4 linked regions of the Saccharomyces cerevisiae S288C genome follow. The gene in region 1 interacts genetically with each later gene. Each region holds a gene or a part of one and is shown in the gene's direction. Other genes may lie near its edges.

Region 1 (7,822 bases):
ATTCAGATTCCACAAAACTGTGGTTACTGTACGTTACATGTTTTTCAGACCAGAAGATGTGGAATGGTTCAAGTCTATCCCACTGTTCACCAAATCAGGTAGGTCAGGTTTCATTAAAGAAAGTTTGGGTACGCATGGTTATTTCAAGGCTACATTTGATGGTAAATTATCTGCGCAGGATGTTGTTGCTATGTCCTTGTACAAACGTATGTGGCCCATGCCTTCGTTACCTTGGAATGGTATGTAAAGTGATAAAAATATACACGTATATATATATATATATATATATATAAGTACGTGAGATCTATTTGTATAATATAATGCTAATAAAATAGTATCAACGATACTGTTGATAAAGGTAAGTCGATACCTGTTCCGTTCGCATCAAATACAAATGCCACTTATTTTGTAGAGGTATTAATGCATTATGTGAAAATTATGACTTTTTATCAAGCAAAATAAATTTGCTACTTGTGCCCTTTTTCTTTCTTTTTTTTTTTATTTGATATGCGTGCCTTTAGCATCCTCCAATTTGATAAAAGTCGGCTTGCTATTAGTCGCTGACAATAAGTTGTAATTGGTGTTAGCTTCATTTTTAATTTTTTTTGAGCCATACAAGCCATCGACATAGTAATTATTTGTAATCTTAGTCTCATAATCGAGTATGATTTTTTCAAAGCTCAATAACGCCTTCTTTAACGCATCGCCTACAGCCTCTTTTTTCGACCTGTTATAACATTCACCTCTCGAGGACAAAGTAATTCTACCTAGCCCACCACACTGTGTGTTGGTGCCATCCTTTAAGGTAACCTTTACTTGGGCTTCTGCCACAACTGTATACTTGACCTCACTAGTGTTGGTGTTTTCTCCATTATTTACTGCGGTGAAGGGCTGGCACTCCCGGGCCTCAACATCTATAACATCCATTCGCCAACCATCATACCCGAATGTTTCATTAGCGAACTGAATGAGAGCATGCCCTGGTATCAGCTTAGATAAGTTGTGCTTCCCATATTTATTATTGTGGTAAATATTGTACGTGTACCTTTCGATCTTGGACTGTAGAAGCCCAATCCTCTGCACCGACCAAGCGCTGGCAGGTCTTCCATTCCAATCTTCGATGATTTGGAACTCTTTTATATCCAAGCCCGGTGCTGTGCCGTATGTAGTCGAATCATACGATATGCTCGAACTGGGCTTCGCTTGTATCGTCATTATTTTGTCTGTTTATCCTGAAATATGCTCTTCTCCTCTACGTAACCCTTTAATGGTCCAAAGCATGTGCTAAACTGCCACAGACTCCCTCAATGATGTTCTTATCCTTCCTTGCCGTTACTGCTTCCTATCATATCTGCCCTTGCCAAACTGTGGCTTCCTCTAATCAATTTGCCCCAGTACATTGAAAAGCACGTGACGTGACACCAACTTGAAAGACATTAGTGTCCAACGCGATATAATGGTCAATAAAATACCCAATTTTATCAAGTGAACATGATATTATTCAATACTATAGTACTTTAAAGAAAACTTCAACAAGTTGCTTCATTGCTATATTATACAATTATGGGTGATGCCGGTCGGCTAACCTTTCTTTCGCAGCGCCACATACAAGAACATATGGTAATTACTAAGAACTTTTTGGAAACTATTTCCATGAAGAAAACAAAATTTACTGGCTTCTGTCTTCGAAGTAAATTTAGCGAACTTGATACTTTCGTTTGGACAGTCGTTTAGATTTGCAACTGTCTGTTCTTATTTCTTGCTATTATTACCAGAAATAAAGCCTAAAGCGCGTGGTTCTTACGAAAAAAATAGACCTTGCACATTAACAGGGTTTAGACATCACAGAGACTGAATACTGGAGAGAAGACAATTCTTGTTCACGACTTCGAGTGATTAATATCTATAACAACCCTCCTATCAAGAATGGACATCATTCAAGGACTGATACAGCAACCAAAAATTCAATCTGTGGATGAAACCATTCCGACGTTGTGCGATCGAGTTGAGAACTCCACTTTGATTAGCGATAGGAGATCCGCTGTGCTGGGATTAAAGGCATTTAGCCGGCAGTATAGAGAATCAGTGATTGCATCCGGGCTAAAACCGTTGCTCAATACTTTGAAACGTGATTATATGGATGAAGATTCGGTAAAGGCTATATTAGAAACAATTTTGATTCTTTTCATCAGAGGCGATGGCCATGACGACTTAACTAGAGGTTGGATTTCTCAACAATCGCGGTTGCAGAATGGCAAGTATCCCTCACCATTGGTGATGAAGCAAGAAAAGGAACAAGTAGATCAGTTCTCGTTATGGATTGCTGATGCTTTGACGCAGTCTGAAGATTTAATTCACCTACTTGTTGAATTTTGGGAAATCGATAATTTCCATATTAGATTGTACACAATTCAATTACTAGAGGCAGTGATGGCCACGAGGCCGTTGAAGGCGAGAAGTGCTTTGATTTCACTTCCAACGAGCATATCCACAATGGTCTCACTCCTAGATGACATGCATGAGCCCATCAGGGATGAAGCTATTTTATTATTAATGGCAGTAGTGAACGATTCACCTCACGTTCAAAAATTGGTTGCTTTTGAAAACATTTTTGAAAGGCTCTTTTCCATCATCGAAGAAGAAGGTGGGTTAAGAGGCTCTCTCGTCGTCAATGATTGTTTATCGTTGATCAATAACATCCTGAAGTATAACACTTCTAATCAAACTTTATTCCTTGAGACAGGAAACTTGCCAAAACTGGCACACCTTTTGAGTGAACCAATATCTCAAGATGAAGTTTTTTTTTGGAATGATCAAAGGATAGTTAATATCAATACAGCTTTAGATATCGTCAGCCTAACAGTAGAGCCAGGAAATACTGTCACCACTAAGCATCAAAATGCGTTGCTTGACTCAAGCGTATTAATGGTTGTGTTGCGACTTGCATTCTTTCATAATATCCCAAAAAAAGTTAGACCGGTTGCTCTTTTGACTGCCGCAAACATGGTTAGAAGTAATGAACATGCACAGCTAGAGTTTAGTAAGATCGATGTTCCATATTTCGATCCTTCATTACCTGTAAACTCTACTGCAAACGGTGGTCCAATTAAATTAATTCCTGTAGTCAGCATCTTGATAAATTGGATGCTCTATGCCAACTCCGTTCACACGTTTGATACAAGAGTTGCGTGTTCTAGACTATTAAAGGCTTATTTCATGGATAATTTTGATCTTCAAAGAGATTTTTTACTAAAACAAGTCCAATTGTGTAATAATTCAACAAATAATGTCGGCGACAATGCTAAAGAAAATGGTGGTTCTAACAAATCTGATAAAGAAAGTGATTCAGATAAAGATACCGACGGGAAGGATGGCACTGAATATGAAGGTTCTTTCAAGGCAAATCTATTCGAAGTCCTGTTAAATTATGACGCAGAATTGAATCTGAACCCTTTTAAATTATTCTTCACAACTGATATTTTTATGTTTTTTTTCCAACAGGATCACAAATATAGCGAAGAACTACGTGAAATAACAAGAAATGTTACCACCGGTAACGATCTCGAAGACGAAGAACCCTTAAAGGCAATTCAAACAATAAGTGAATTGCTAACTACTTCCCTTACTGCTGCTGACATAAGAATTCCTATTTCCTACTTAACGTTCCTAATATATTGGCTCTTTGGCGACTTTAAGGCCACGAACGATTTTCTTTCGGATAAATCCGTGATTAAATCCTTGCTTTCCTTCTCTTACCAAATTCAAGATGAAGACGTTACTATCAAATGCCTTGTAACAATGTTACTAGGTGTGGCATACGAGTTTTCCTCGAAAGAATCTCCATTCCCAAGAAAGGAATACTTCGAATTCATCACTAAAACTTTGGGAAAAGACAATTATGCTTCTCGAATCAAACAATTTAAAAAAGATTCATATTTCTCAAAAGTTGATATGAATGAAGACAGTATACTAACTCCGGAGCTTGATGAAACTGGTTTACCAAAAGTTTATTTCAGCACTTACTTCATACAGTTATTTAATGAAAACATATACAGGATCAGAACTGCATTGTCTCACGACCCTGACGAAGAGCCAATCAATAAAATATCTTTCGAAGAAGTCGAAAAATTACAGAGGCAATGTACAAAATTGAAGGGTGAGATAACTTCTTTGCAAACAGAAACGGAAAGCACCCATGAGAACCTCACCGAAAAATTGATTGCGTTGACTAATGAACACAAAGAGTTGGATGAGAAATACCAAATTTTGAATTCCTCACATTCTTCGTTGAAAGAAAACTTTTCCATTTTGGAAACTGAATTGAAGAACGTCAGAGATTCCTTGGATGAAATGACGCAACTGAGAGATGTACTGGAAACTAAGGACAAAGAAAATCAAACTGCTTTACTGGAGTACAAAAGCACAATCCACAAACAAGAAGACTCTATCAAAACTTTAGAAAAAGGACTTGAAACTATTTTGTCTCAAAAGAAAAAGGCAGAAGATGGTATAAACAAAATGGGTAAAGATTTATTCGCTCTGAGTAGAGAGATGCAAGCAGTTGAGGAGAATTGTAAAAATTTACAGAAGGAAAAAGATAAAAGCAATGTCAACCATCAGAAAGAGACTAAATCACTAAAAGAAGATATTGCGGCAAAAATTACTGAAATAAAAGCTATCAATGAAAATCTGGAAGAAATGAAAATTCAATGTAATAATTTATCAAAAGAAAAGGAACATATTTCGAAGGAACTTGTTGAGTACAAATCCCGCTTTCAGAGTCATGACAATCTAGTAGCGAAACTAACAGAAAAATTGAAATCCTTAGCAAATAACTATAAGGATATGCAAGCTGAAAATGAGTCTCTAATAAAAGCTGTAGAAGAGTCAAAAAACGAAAGCAGCATACAATTGTCTAATTTGCAAAATAAAATTGATTCTATGTCACAGGAAAAAGAAAATTTTCAAATAGAAAGAGGCAGTATAGAAAAAAATATCGAACAACTAAAAAAAACCATCTCTGACTTAGAACAAACGAAGGAGGAAATTATCTCAAAATCCGATTCTTCAAAAGATGAATATGAGTCCCAGATTAGTCTCTTGAAAGAAAAATTAGAAACGGCGACAACAGCAAACGATGAAAACGTGAATAAAATCTCAGAATTGACTAAAACTAGGGAAGAGCTGGAAGCCGAGTTAGCAGCTTATAAAAATCTCAAAAATGAACTTGAAACAAAACTAGAAACTTCAGAGAAAGCTTTGAAAGAAGTTAAAGAAAACGAGGAGCATTTAAAAGAAGAGAAAATTCAACTCGAGAAGGAGGCCACTGAAACCAAACAGCAACTCAACAGCCTACGTGCCAATTTAGAATCATTAGAAAAAGAGCATGAAGATTTAGCAGCTCAGTTGAAGAAGTACGAGGAGCAAATTGCCAACAAGGAAAGGCAATATAACGAGGAAATATCTCAATTAAATGATGAGATTACTTCCACTCAACAAGAAAATGAATCAATTAAGAAAAAAAATGACGAACTGGAGGGCGAAGTTAAAGCAATGAAGAGCACTTCAGAGGAACAATCAAATTTGAAAAAGTCAGAGATTGATGCCTTAAATTTGCAAATTAAAGAGCTGAAAAAGAAGAACGAAACGAACGAAGCCAGTTTATTGGAGTCAATCAAAAGTGTAGAATCAGAAACGGTAAAAATTAAAGAATTACAAGACGAATGTAACTTTAAAGAAAAGGAAGTTAGTGAATTGGAAGACAAACTCAAGGCCTCAGAAGATAAGAACTCTAAATATTTGGAGCTACAGAAGGAATCGGAGAAGATAAAAGAAGAACTAGATGCTAAAACGACTGAACTAAAAATTCAATTGGAAAAGATCACTAATTTATCTAAGGCCAAGGAGAAATCAGAATCTGAGTTGTCTAGATTGAAGAAGACATCTTCTGAGGAAAGAAAAAATGCAGAGGAGCAATTGGAAAAATTGAAAAATGAAATACAAATCAAAAATCAGGCCTTCGAAAAGGAAAGAAAGCTACTTAATGAAGGATCTTCAACAATTACACAAGAATATTCTGAAAAGATCAATACTTTGGAAGATGAATTAATTAGGCTACAAAATGAAAACGAATTAAAAGCCAAAGAGATCGATAATACGAGGAGTGAACTAGAGAAGGTTAGTTTAAGCAATGATGAGCTTTTAGAAGAGAAACAAAACACAATAAAAAGCTTACAAGATGAAATTCTTTCATATAAAGACAAAATAACTAGAAATGACGAAAAGCTTCTATCAATAGAGCGAGATAATAAACGAGACCTGGAGAGCTTGAAAGAACAACTCCGGGCTGCACAAGAATCCAAAGCTAAAGTTGAAGAAGGGCTGAAAAAACTTGAGGAAGAATCTTCAAAAGAGAAAGCAGAGCTTGAAAAGTCTAAAGAAATGATGAAAAAGCTAGAGAGTACGATTGAGAGCAATGAAACGGAGTTGAAATCCTCAATGGAAACCATAAGGAAATCAGATGAAAAATTAGAACAGTCGAAAAAAAGTGCTGAGGAGGATATTAAAAACTTGCAACATGAGAAGTCAGATTTGATATCCCGAATCAACGAATCTGAAAAGGATATTGAAGAACTGAAAAGTAAACTGAGGATCGAAGCAAAATCTGGCTCTGAACTAGAAACCGTAAAACAAGAGCTAAATAACGCACAAGAAAAAATAAGGATCAACGCAGAAGAAAATACAGTTTTGAAATCTAAATTAGAAGATATAGAACGTGAACTCAAAGACAAGCAAGCCGAAATAAAAAGTAATCAAGAAGAAAAAGAATTACTAACTTCGCGCCTCAAGGAATTAGAACAGGAATTAGATAGCACCCAACAGAAGGCACAAAAATCCGAGGAAGAACGTAGGGCCGAAGTCAGGAAGTTTCAAGTCGAAAAGTCTCAACTTGATGAAAAAGCCATGTTGCTTGAAACTAAATACAACGATTTGGTGAATAAAGAGCAAGCATGGAAAAGGGATGAAGATACTGTTAAAAAGACAACCGATTCTCAGAGACAAGAAATTGAAAAGTTGGCTAAAGAACTGGATAACTTGAAGGCAGAGAACTCTAAGTTGAAGGAAGCTAACGAAGATCGTTCGGAAATTGATGACTTGATGCTCTTGGTTACTGACCTAGATGAGAAAAACGCCAAATATCGCTCAAAGCTGAAGGATTTGGGCGTTGAAATTAGTTCGGATGAAGAGGATGATGAAGAAGATGATGAAGAAGACGAGGAAGAAGGGCAAGTGGCATGATAGAGTTAAAATATGTGCATAAACAAATCGCTTGAACGATCTGTTTGATTATGTGGGCAGCACTACTTTTTTGTAATTATATATGCATATATACATTTTACTGACACTAAATGTTATATTTTCTATAACATCTAACATTACTTCACGCCTTCTAATTAAAGTATAGTTTGTGCAAACAATATGTGAGCTCACGTAGACAATTGTCTAATATATCATTAATGTCCCTTGCATAGAACTTCCTTTTTTTTTCTCAGCGTCGCAATATCTCTGTCGAGAAACGCTTACGCATTATAATAAGCCAAGGAAAAATAGCGAAAAGCCGATGCAGATCTACAGGAGTGATGAAAGTACTAAAAAGATCAGAAAAGGGAATATTTGTCAAATAACCAAGTCGAAATGGAAAAAAAACATGTCACTGTGCAAATACAAAGTGCTCCCCCCTCCTATATCAAATTGGAAGCAAATGAAAAATTCGTATATATTACAAGTACAATGAACGGCTTATCTTATCAAATTGCGGCTA
Region 2 (3,544 bases), on another chromosome or scaffold:
AGCATGCTGTATATATTTGTATTGCACTTGATTTACTTATAACAGCTTAGGTTTACAATGCAACAAGATATCGTCAACGATCACCAGGAGGAGGCCCAAGGGTGGAAGTGGGAACAAATCAAAGAGATAATTGAATCGGGGGAGCTTGCCCGTTTGAAACGAAGTCGCCAGATGACTGACAAATACCACGAGCATAAGAAAAGGACTGCTGGCCTGGACATGAACCAGTACGTTTTGCAAAAACTAGGCTGGTCGCTAGACGAACCGCAGCTCGAAAATGCTGCCGCGAAGGCTTTTAGTTCTTCTACTCTATATGCTGTGCGTGCCAACGATTTCCCGTATAACTTCGAGCCTGGTGTTGTACACCTTGTTCTCTGGTCCAAGGTTGCCCTGCCAGTACATTCCCCAGATAAGGCCGTGCGCGAAGCGGCCCGCGCTCGCATGAATGCATTTTTGCAGGCACAGCCGCTACTGCGTCCACTTCTAAGCTCGGGTCACGTGGCCTGGTTTGTCAACTACCCGGAACTACAAAGTGTTGCCCGGATTTTCCACGCTCACGTGCTGCTTTTCTTCCCACGGGAACGCTATTCCGCGGAACAGGTAAAAACGACCGTTGATGATATCCTTTCACACGGTTTCGAGCCACTTGCCTGATAAAGTTTTTTTTTTTTTTTTCAGCATGCCAAAATGCTACATACATTTGTTAATTATGTACTATAACCGATACTGGTATTAATGATGCGATGAGCTGATGAGACAGTAGATAAATAAAAGACGCTTCTACCTACACAAGCACATACAATATAATATGCATATGCAACTCAGGAAAAGAAAAAGGGTTGACTATTCAGGGAGAAATCAGACGTCCGATCCTCCTTCAACCACAACGGCAGCGGTACCATCCATTATTGTCCCTAAGAAGCGTAAAGTAGTCGCACAAAACATGGTTAGTCCAGCTATTCGAGCCACAACCACAACACTGGGCACCTCAAATATAATAATACCTAAGCCTCTGCAGCGCCCTAAATTCCACAATAGCGCCAGCCTATCTTCACCTGATGATGATCCCGAAAAGATCTCTGTATTGGAAGTTCAGAAAAATTTGTCCAATCTCATCAAAAGACAACAAAGATTATTTTATAAAGATATACATAAGCCGACTCTCGCCGGCTTGAAAAATTTCGAAATGTTAAGGCTGCCCAATGATCTAAAACTCCTACAAAACATCGTAAACCTATTATATTCATTCGAGCAATTAAACAGTGACTCGAAGACAAGACCAGTCACTACTTCCAAATTAAAGGCCTCCTCTCAAGCGCACTCAGACAAATTGAAAAAAATGCTAGCTGAGAGGAAACCTCCATTTAGCCACCCCAGTCACAGCGGCACTGCCTACCACAATGACATCATCCATGAGATAGCGAATTTGCATTCTATTAACCTGGTAGATTTGATTAATTTGGAAGTATATAATAACAATTGCCATACAAACAACACAGCGTTGCAAACTACGGCGAATTCGCTGACACTTAATAGCATTATCAAAAAGCTTGACAAGCCAATACTGAAAGAAAGAAATAATTCTCTGGTATGGCCCCATAAAAGCAGATTTAAAGCAAAAAGGAACCAACCTTCGCCTGGCCAATCTTTAATTAACAATACAGATATAACTCTCTACAACGATGTATAGCCGCCATCTCTACTCACTCCATAATATTACATATAGATATAGGACAAGCCCGCATTTTCATACTGAAAGGTAAACTTCTATTATTATAGTGGTATCCAACGTTCACCGCTTCCAGCATAGCAGAAATTACGTGTTTTTGCATATGTTATGCTGATCATTGTATGCTTACTACCATTTTTCTTTGCTTCGCCTTGCCTTCTTTGACGTTTTTTTGAAGCAAAAAAAAAGTCAAGACAGATGTGCTTACAAAACCATGTAAGGCTCATTTTCAAAGAAGCTACTAATAGAAAGAGAACAAAGCGTTTACGAGTCTGGAAAATCAATGGAGGCCAAGATAGATGAGCTGATCAATAATGATCCTGTTTGGTCCAGCCAAAATGAAAGCTTGATTTCAAAACCTTATAATCACATCCTTTTGAAACCTGGCAAGAACTTTAGACTAAATTTAATAGTTCAAATTAACAGAGTTATGAATTTGCCCAAAGACCAGCTGGCCATAGTTTCGCAAATTGTTGAGCTCTTGCATAATTCCAGCCTTTTAATCGACGATATAGAAGATAATGCTCCCTTGAGAAGGGGACAGACCACTTCTCACTTAATCTTCGGTGTACCCTCCACTATAAACACCGCAAATTATATGTATTTCAGAGCCATGCAACTTGTATCGCAGCTAACCACAAAAGAGCCTTTGTATCATAATTTGATTACGATTTTCAACGAAGAATTGATCAATCTACATAGGGGACAAGGCTTGGATATATACTGGAGAGACTTTCTGCCTGAAATCATACCTACTCAGGAGATGTATTTGAATATGGTTATGAATAAAACAGGCGGCCTTTTCAGATTAACGTTGAGACTCATGGAAGCGCTGTCTCCTTCCTCACACCACGGCCATTCGTTGGTTCCTTTCATAAATCTTCTGGGTATTATTTATCAGATTAGAGATGATTACTTGAATTTGAAAGATTTCCAAATGTCCAGCGAAAAAGGCTTTGCTGAGGACATTACAGAGGGGAAGTTATCTTTTCCCATCGTCCACGCCCTTAACTTCACTAAAACGAAAGGTCAAACTGAGCAACACAATGAAATTCTAAGAATTCTCCTGTTGAGGACAAGTGATAAAGATATAAAACTAAAGCTGATTCAAATACTGGAATTCGACACCAATTCATTGGCCTACACCAAAAATTTTATTAATCAATTAGTGAATATGATAAAAAATGATAATGAAAATAAGTATTTACCTGATTTGGCTTCGCATTCCGACACCGCCACCAATTTACATGACGAATTGTTATATATAATAGACCACTTATCCGAATTGTGAAATAAATTGATCAATCAAATTAGTGGAGGAAGATAGTCAGAAATAAAGCCTTCTCTCCTCCTCTTTCGCATCTATACATACGATTTCATATATACGTTTCATTGCATCATCTTTTGATATATCTCAAAAAGATCTCTTAGTTCGCAAATAGTCAAATCTTCAAATTTATAGCCTTTATATTTTTTCCACGATTTCTGAAACTCCTTTTTATCAGCACCGTTAATGCTAGCGGTTACTGTCAAATCGCCGGTAAATTCGCGATTTCCGTGCTCTAAAGATGCTGAAGATCGTGAAGATGATGAAGTTGATCGTGAGCCATCCCTAGACATCTCTGTTGTATCTCTATTGCTCAATTCCATGGATAATTGAGACGAACTTCGTGGTATGTTTAAGTTGTTGCTACTGTGAAGGTTATTATTGCTAGTATTGTTAGGATGTGGTGGAGTATATGACCTAATTTTTCCGATGATATTTTTTAATGATGAATCAAAAACGGTCCTGAAGCCATCATACGAATTCGATCT
Region 3 (3,200 bases), on another chromosome or scaffold:
GAGTCGGATAGACCCTTGATTTCCAGTAGTTTTTCTTGTAAAGATTTTGACAATTCGTTATTTTTTTGCTTCAAAACATCATTATTCGTTCTTTCCATTTGAAAATCATTCCTTAAACGATTTAATTCATTCCTGATATCTAGAATTACTTTGTCGGTTTTTTGTCTGTAGGAGAGATACTGTTCATTTTTTGAACGTAGCTCCTTTTCTAGCCAATCATTATTTGACTGCAATAAAGTCAATTCTTGTGTTTTTCTTTCCAGTTCAGTTCTAGAATTCAGGTCATTAGTAATATAGCCCTGTTGTTTTGTTTCTAAATCCATTATTGTAGAGCGTAGTTTCTTACATTCACTATTGGAGCGATTATTCTCAACCCTGACCAATTCTATTTCTTTTAGTCTTTCATCCAGTATTTTCAGGGTTCGCTGTTGATTACTCTGGGTTTCCTTTTTCTCCTCAGTTAAATCATCGAGCTTCCTTTTCACAAACTCTAGCTCACTTGATAATTTCATCTTTTCATTTTCTACAGATTCGAACTTAACAAAAGTATCATTCCTCTCTTTTCGGATTTTATCATTTTCTCTTATAACGTTTTCCATTTCTGTCTTCAAACCATCAATTTTCTTTAAAGAACTAGCCTTCAATTCATCGAATGAGACGGTAACCTTTAGATTCTCCGATTTAAGTTCATTAAACTGTAAAAGTTTATCGTTAAGGTGTTTTACCACATCACCGTCAAATGATTTAACCTGCTCTAAAGAGCAACCGAAAAAAGACGCAATGGCGTTCAATCTTTCGTCTGAATTTTCACCATTTTGTATGCTTTCCATTGGAGTATCATGATCCGACATTATCCTAAAACGTGGCGTTACTGACTATTTGTGTAGCTTCGGCGAGTATCAGTTAAGTCCTAGTCAGCACAAGAGATGGAAAAATAGACAGGCAGCAATATATCTATCAGTAAATATTGTAAATGGAGCGTATCTCTCCGGCGCCGTAAGACTCAATGGACCACTTTTATTGATATCTCTGTCTGTATTCAATTTGCCTTCCAGTTTTCTTTTCCCATATACTCTTGTTGTCATGTCAAGAGGAATGAAAGGAAACAAAGATGGGAAGAGCGCGTTACCCCGCGCGTCGATCATCATATTATAAAGAAGACTTAAGTTATTATTTTTGTCAGTAATATTCACCCTGATATAATGTTAGTAAGAAGTAAATTTTATTATTCCATATAGAATCTATGGAAGGTTGACCCATCCCTCAATTTTTTCTTGAGAGTAGAAAAGCTTTCTGCGATATGTGGAGAGATATAAAAAATGCTGGTTCAGTTCAAATAGAGAGAGAAATTTTTAAATTCTTGCATAGGGATACTTGAATTCATTGCTTGAGATATTAACGCGTTAGGTTGTGTTCTTCAATGATGGGCAATGCAATTTGGCGTTAAGCGCCTGAGCAATAAGGTAACAGCGAAATTTATGACATATTATTTCGAACCTTTTACAAACTAGTAGATTTAGTGATTTATTACCTATTGGCATTCATTTGTGTTCTATATGTGGATGAGGATAGCCGCCTTTCTTCTCATCGGAGGCCATATCATCTTTCGACAATCCTTTTTAAATACTATTTCCATCCGTGCCTCTAATAGATTTGTGTAGTTGTCTGGGTGCAATCTTTCCATTTTTGCTGAACTTTTTTTTTTTTTTCATGTTTTTCAGATTCTGAAGTACCGCAATAGGATATGGCGGATAATCCGCCATATGATCCGCCTCATACTAGCCATTACCCATCTATCCCAGGCATTATGGGTATGCAACTCATAATCTCAAATACACAAATAAGAGCAACCTTATATATCACTTTTTCCCGTTCAGCAAGAGGTAAAGCCACCAAAGGTTCAAAATGCAAATGTATGTTACGGCGAATACAGAATACTATGTTCGAAATAATATGAGGATTATACGATAGCAAAAAAGCCATAAACGAAAGACATAAATGGAAAATGATTGACAAGCTCACAATTTATTAAACAAGTAGCAATTGAGAAAAACTATTACCTGCGGCAAGCTTCTGAGTTTACATTAAATCTGTAGAGCAAATTGAAAATGTCGCATATGTGCTGAAGGGTTTGTTTGTTCCATCTTATTTTGCATAACATAGTTATATTTACTTGGTCGCATAAAAAATATTTTTTACTAACGTGAAGTTTCTTTCTTTATGATGTACGCACGCACGTCTGTGCTTACTCCATAAATGAACTTATTCCAATTTTGTACAGCTTCGTTAAGACTTTGACTGGTAAGACCATCACTTTGGAAGTTGAATCTTCTGACACCATTGACAATGTCAAGTCCAAGATCCAAGACAAGGAAGGTATCCCACCTGACCAACAAAGATTGATCTTTGCTGGTAAGCAATTGGAAGACGGTAGAACTCTATCTGACTACAACATCCAAAAGGAATCCACTTTACATTTGGTCTTGAGATTAAGAGGTGGTATCATTGAACCATCTTTGAAAGCCTTGGCTTCCAAATACAACTGTGACAAATCTGTTTGTCGTAAATGTTACGCCAGATTACCACCAAGAGCTACCAACTGTAGAAAGAGAAAGTGTGGTCACACCAACCAATTGCGTCCAAAGAAGAAGTTGAAATAATCGATTTATTACGATCTCCACAAATCCAAAGTTTGTATACATCACGATTTTTTTACTACATATATATTTCCTTTTCTATTCTATTTGTAAATGGGAGGAAATCTTAATATGGACCTCTCTTCACAAATTGTTCTATAATACAATATATATCAAGATATAATAACAAGTCATTTGAGATAATGGTATGCAAATACGCGAAATAAGAGTAAACGGATACAGTGAGCCTGAAGAGGACAAGCTGCTTCCATGTTGTAGTGTTTAGATATATGAGCTTAAAATTTAGATTTACTGAATATTATACAATAGTAATTATACATAAAGAAATTCCATTTTATCTGTTCGATAGCAATGGAAGAGGAGAGAGTTCTGTGAAACAAATAACAGCAGCACAGAAAACTCCCGTCAACGTAATATGGTTAAAAAAAAAAAAAAAAAAAAGACAGTAAGTTAATTAAACGCACTAATATTTGGTGGTGGATCTTAGACTTTCCATTGGTTCTAATATTTCAATATCGTTAGCTTTAGGTGCGGAAATTGGAT
Region 4 (5,009 bases), on another chromosome or scaffold:
ACAAATAGGATTCAGTACAAAGTTTTCCCAATCTTTATCAAACTTCAAATCAGAGAATTTATACAATGAATACTGCTGGTTTCTTGCGCCCATCACCCTTAGGCAGTCATAGTCCAGTTTCGTAATTTGTAAGAAAAGGTCGGACAAATTAGGGTATCTCAGAGGATCTTTGGTTGTGTTATAATCAGGATCACTCGGCTCTTTAAAGAAAAATCCAGTAGTTTCACCATCATCTTCGAGTTTTGCAAAATATTTCTTTTGTAACTCCCATTGTGGTGGAGCTTTTCCGATATTCCCGTTGGCATCCCATGGAGTAACTATATCTAACAATGGGCCCGCCGAGGCATGAACTATGGGGATCAAACCGGAAGCCATATACTCTACAACTGCAATTCCAAAGTGCTCATTCCACATGGCATTAACACCGAAAGTAGATTTGTTTAGTAATATTTCAATCTTATCGAAGGGCAGATTTTTTTCGAATGATATCAAATGTTTAGGAATTTTTAATACATTTTCTGACCAGTCTTGTAAACTTTTAACATAATTTTCATCTTGCTTGGATCTAGTGGACCCCGCCATTATCAATTTAATTGGCGATACAGAATCCGGTAAATTTTTCAAGAAAGTTGCAAAGGACTCAATGATTAACTTATGACGTTTCTCAGGACGAAATTGTGCCAACACAATTGCTTGATTTAATCTCTCACCCTTTGCAGTACCAAACTTTTGCTTCCAATCTACTAATTTCTCAGTAGAGCATGGAGGATATATAATTTTACACGTATTGGATTGCCAAATTTGCTTTATGTGGTTATTTGTCCATGTTGAGTTTGTGATTACAATATCAATTTTAGAACCAATGGATTGATAAATTAACATAAAAACTTTCCAGTATAATATTTTACCGTAAACTTTGATACCCTTCTTGGGCATTTTGAACAGCTTATTTAACATGTCTTTTGACATTATCGGATAATGCGTATATGTGACGATAGGAATTCTCCTCAAAAACCTAGCAATAATAGGATAGCTGAAAGGGTACCCCATTGTATCAATCCATATATCAGGTGGACACTGAATAATGGATTCAAATGCGAGAATCATTGATCCAATTGCTTGTCCAATCAACGTGAAATGCTTCCATGTTGAAGAATCCACCAAGTATCTTAGCTTCAATGAAATGAAAAATATTCTATCCGAATCCAAGTCGTAATCGAACTTCGCTTTCACATTATTTAGAATATTCTCCGGAGTAACATTCTCTCCATTCACAAAATCCCCTGAATAAATGACAATAACGTTCTTAGCATCTTTTCTCAAAGTGATATCTACAGCTTTCCAGAGCACTTTTTCCCCACCACCACCAGCATTACAATACGGATGAAAAAAACCAAAAACTTTCACATTCTTCTCACCACAGGAGGCAACTGCTCTGTTCAGTAATGAAGATTTTTTGGAGAACGGATTCAAGCTGGAATACACCCATTGACGGAAGATCCACGTGAGAACCTTAATTAGTCCATACACTAGTACTAAAGATGATACAACATATTTTTTGAACCCAAAATGAGACTTAACCTCTTCAAAATTGTAGTTTGTCCAAGCACTGCCCATTTTCGCCTGCAATCACCTGAACATGTTGGTCACACTTGGATACTAACATCTATCTTCACTTCACTTACCTCTCAATCTTATTATTTATTGAACTTTTCACTTTTTGTTTAGCTTACCCGAAGGACATAGATGTAGCGATGACAACGATGAATGATACGTCAGTTAAAAGGGTCTTCGTCGAACTCTTCATCTAACCCTTCATTTGCAGTGTGCTTGGTTGATGAACCTTCTTCCATTAATGATCGACAGCTGCAGTGAATAATGTCTCATCATAAGAAGAGGGTGTACCCTCAAGCTCAGGTGCCATACATTGCAAGTATGCCAATAGTTGCAGAGCAACAGCAGTCTCAACAACAAATCGACCAAACAGCTTATGCAATGGGCAACCTACAATTGAACAATAGGGCTAACTCATTTACACAGCTAGCTCAAAATCAACAGTTTCCTGGTTCTGGGAAAGTGGTCAATCAACTATACCCTGTGGATTTGTTTACAGAATTACCTCCGCCAATCCGTGACCTGTCTTTACCACCTCTTCCAATCACCATTTCTCAGGATAACATTGTGACTCCATCCGAATATTCAAATGTTCCATACCAGTACGTCAGATCTACTTTGAAAGCGGTGCCAAAAACAAACTCTCTGCTGAAGAAAACGAAGTTACCATTTGCCATTGTTATTAGACCATATTTGCATTTGCAAGATTCAGACAACCAAGTACCGCTAAATACTGACGGAGTCATTGTCCGCTGTCGCCGTTGTCGTTCATATATGAACCCTTTTGTCGTTTTCATTAACCAAGGGAGAAAATGGCAATGTAATATATGCCGTTTCAAAAATGATGTCCCATTTGGGTTTGATCAGAACTTACAAGGCGCTCCAATCAACAGATATGAAAGAAACGAAATTAAAAACTCTGTCGTGGATTACTTGGCTCCCGTAGAATATTCTGTTAGGGAACCCCCACCATCTGTTTATGTATTTCTTTTAGATGTTTCTCAAAACGCTGTCAAAAATGGTTTATTGGCTACTTCTGCCAGAACCATTTTAGAAAACATAGAATTTCTACCAAATCATGATGGAAGGACCAGAATTGCTATTATATGTGTTGATCATAGCCTTCATTATTTTTACGTTCCTTTGGATGATGATTATGAAGTATCGGATGAGGATGATGAAGAATCAGATGGTGAAGAAGAAGATGAAGACGAGGAAGAGGAAGACGTTGATAATTCAGAAACAATTCAAATGTTTGATATTGGCGATTTGGATGAACCATTTTTACCAATGCCGAGTGATGAATTAGTAGTTCCACTAAAATATTGTAAAAATAATCTGGAAACATTGTTGAAAAAGATACCTGAAATTTTTCAAGACACACACAGTAGCAAGTTTGCACTTGGACCTGCCCTAAAAGCTGCGTCAAATTTGATAAAAAGCACTGGAGGCAAAGTTGAAGTCATTTCATCAACTTTACCAAATACTGGCATCGGGAAATTGAAAAAAAGAAGTGAACAGGGCATATTAAACACACCAAAAGAAAGCTCTCAGCTACTGTCGTGTAAAGATTCCTTTTATAAAACATTCACAATTGAGTGTAATAAACTACAAATAACAGTGGACATGTTTCTGGCATCAGAGGACTACATGGACGTTGCCACTCTATCTCACCTGGGCCGTTTTTCTGGTGGTCAAACACATTTTTATCCTGGTTTTAATGCCACCAGTTTGAACGATGTTACTAAGTTTACTAGGGAATTATCAAGGCATTTATCCATGGATATTTCAATGGAAGCTGTTATGAGAGTTCGTTGTTCTACTGGCTTGAGGGCCACATCGTTTTTTGGCCATTTTTTTAACAGATCCTCTGATTTATGCGCTTTTTCCACAATGCCTAGAGATCAGTCTTATCTTTTCGGGATATCCATCGAAGACTCATTAATGGCAGAATATTGCTACTTGCAAGTGTCAACATTGTTGACTCTAAACACTGGTGAACGTAGAATTAGAGTCATGACGTTAGCTCTACCAACGTCCGAATCAGCTAGGGAAGTGTTTGCATCCGCAGATCAACTAGCCATTACTGATTTCATGACACAAAACGCGGTGACTAAGGCTTTGAATTCAAGCATGTACTCTGCGAGGGATTTTATCACAAAATCGCTCGAAGATATTTTAAATGCCTACAAAAAAGAAATTTCGATGTCTAATATAAATTCAGTAACCTCACTTAACCTATGCGCAAATTTGAGAATGTTACCTCTATTAATGAATGGACTAAGTAAACATATAGCCCTCAGACCGGGCGTTGTTCCAAGCGATTACCGTGCAAGTGCGTTGAATAGATTGGAAACGGAGCCTCTTCATTATTTGATAAAGAGCATTTACCCTACAGTTTACTCCCTGCACGACATGCCCGACGAAGTCGGTCTACCTGACTTTGAAGGAAAAACGGTTCTTCCTGAACCTATAAATGCCACTATATCTCTTTTCGAAAGATATGGCCTGTATTTAATTGACAATTCCGCAGAATTATTTTTATGGGTTGGCGGAGATGCTGTTCCTGAGTTACTAATAGATGTATTCAATACTGACACCATATCTCAAATTCCTGTGGGGAAAAGTGAACTGCCTCTTTTGAACGATTCGCCTTTCAATGAAAGACTAAGGAGGATAATCGGTAGAATTAGAGAAAACAATGATACAATCACATTTCAATCATTATACATAATAAGAGGACCATCTATTAACGAGCCCGCCAACCTAAACTCCGAAAAAGATATGGCTTCTTTAAGGCTATGGGTATTAAGTACTCTTGTCGAAGACAAAGTTTTAAATTGTGCTAGTTATAGAGAATACTTACAGAGTATGAAGACTAGTATCAACAGATAACAATCAGTCTTTCTTTAATCTTTATCTTTATTAACCGATCATCATGTATAGATTTTGATATACAATACAGATAGAAATAAAAGTAAATCGTGAAAGATTTTGGCCTTTGCGTGTGAGAGTTATGTACTTCAAAAATGCCATTCTGTTCCTACATAAAAAATAAGTATTTTCAAGTCATCGGATCAGTACGAAAAAGAAAAATTTGAAGTACTTAAAATACGACCAGTTTCATTTAAACAGCAATGGAAAAATCTCCTCTAATGAAAAAAAAAGAAAAACATTGAAATTCAGTATAAAAATGTCTGAATTTAAGATGTATGCTTTGACATAAGATACAAGTTTGCCTCTAATTTCATTTTTTTACTAACTTTTCAACGAATCGTTTAATATTCTAATTATTTTGCAGAGTATCAAGAAAAGATCTTTATAATGAAGGAGAGGGATTAGGAGAAGATTATGATTCCAATAGTAGTAGTAAAAATAATAGTGAGCATGTAGAG

The links.
Region 2: mutations in USO1 (region 1) and BTS1 together harm fitness more than expected from each alone (negative genetic interaction), as found in Saccharomyces cerevisiae (3 studies listed by BioGRID).
Region 3: mutations in USO1 (region 1) and RPL40B together harm fitness more than expected from each alone (negative genetic interaction), as found in Saccharomyces cerevisiae (3 studies listed by BioGRID).
Region 4: mutations in USO1 (region 1) and SFB2 together harm fitness more than expected from each alone (negative genetic interaction), as found in Saccharomyces cerevisiae (3 studies listed by BioGRID).

Annotation. Positions count from the first base shown.
Region 1 is NC_001136.10:343,739-351,560, forward strand, and holds USO1 (Uso1p), read left to right. Parts: upstream 1-1,926; coding exon 1,927-7,299; downstream 7,300-7,822. Other genes in the region: small subunit rRNA maturation protein TSR1, read left to right, coding at 1-247; RAD59 (Rad59p), read right to left, coding at 499-1,215; YDL057W (uncharacterized protein), read left to right, coding at 7,696-7,822. UniProt on the Saccharomyces cerevisiae protein: Required for protein transport from the ER to the Golgi complex.
Region 2 is NC_001148.4:422,361-425,904, reverse strand, and holds BTS1 (farnesyltranstransferase), read left to right. Parts: upstream 1-2,012; coding exon 2,013-3,020; downstream 3,021-3,544. Other genes in the region: HTC1 (Htc1p), read left to right, coding at 58-654; YPL068C (uncharacterized protein), read left to right, coding at 809-1,690; guanine nucleotide exchange factor MUK1, read right to left, coding at 3,119-3,544. UniProt on the Saccharomyces cerevisiae protein: Catalyzes the trans-addition of the 3 molecules of IPP onto DMAPP to form geranylgeranyl pyrophosphate. Required for the membrane attachment of YPT1 and SEC4. May be involved in vesicle trafficking and protein sorting.
Region 3 is NC_001143.9:617,456-620,655, reverse strand, and holds RPL40B (ubiquitin-60S ribosomal protein eL40 RPL40B fusion protein), read left to right. Parts: upstream 1-1,905; coding exon 1,906-1,913; intron 1,914-2,281; coding exon 2,282-2,660; downstream 2,661-3,200. Other genes in the region: MLP1 (Mlp1p), read right to left, coding at 1-851; PTR2 (Ptr2p), read right to left, coding at 3,121-3,200.
Region 4 is NC_001146.8:534,781-539,789, reverse strand, and holds SFB2 (COPII subunit SFB2), read left to right. Parts: upstream 1-1,878; coding exon 1,879-4,509; downstream 4,510-5,009. Other genes in the region: alpha-1,2-mannosyltransferase ALG11, read right to left, coding at 1-1,617; YNL050C (uncharacterized protein), read left to right, coding at 4,808-4,824, 4,916-5,009. UniProt on the Saccharomyces cerevisiae protein: Component of the COPII coat, that covers ER-derived vesicles involved in transport from the endoplasmic reticulum to the Golgi apparatus.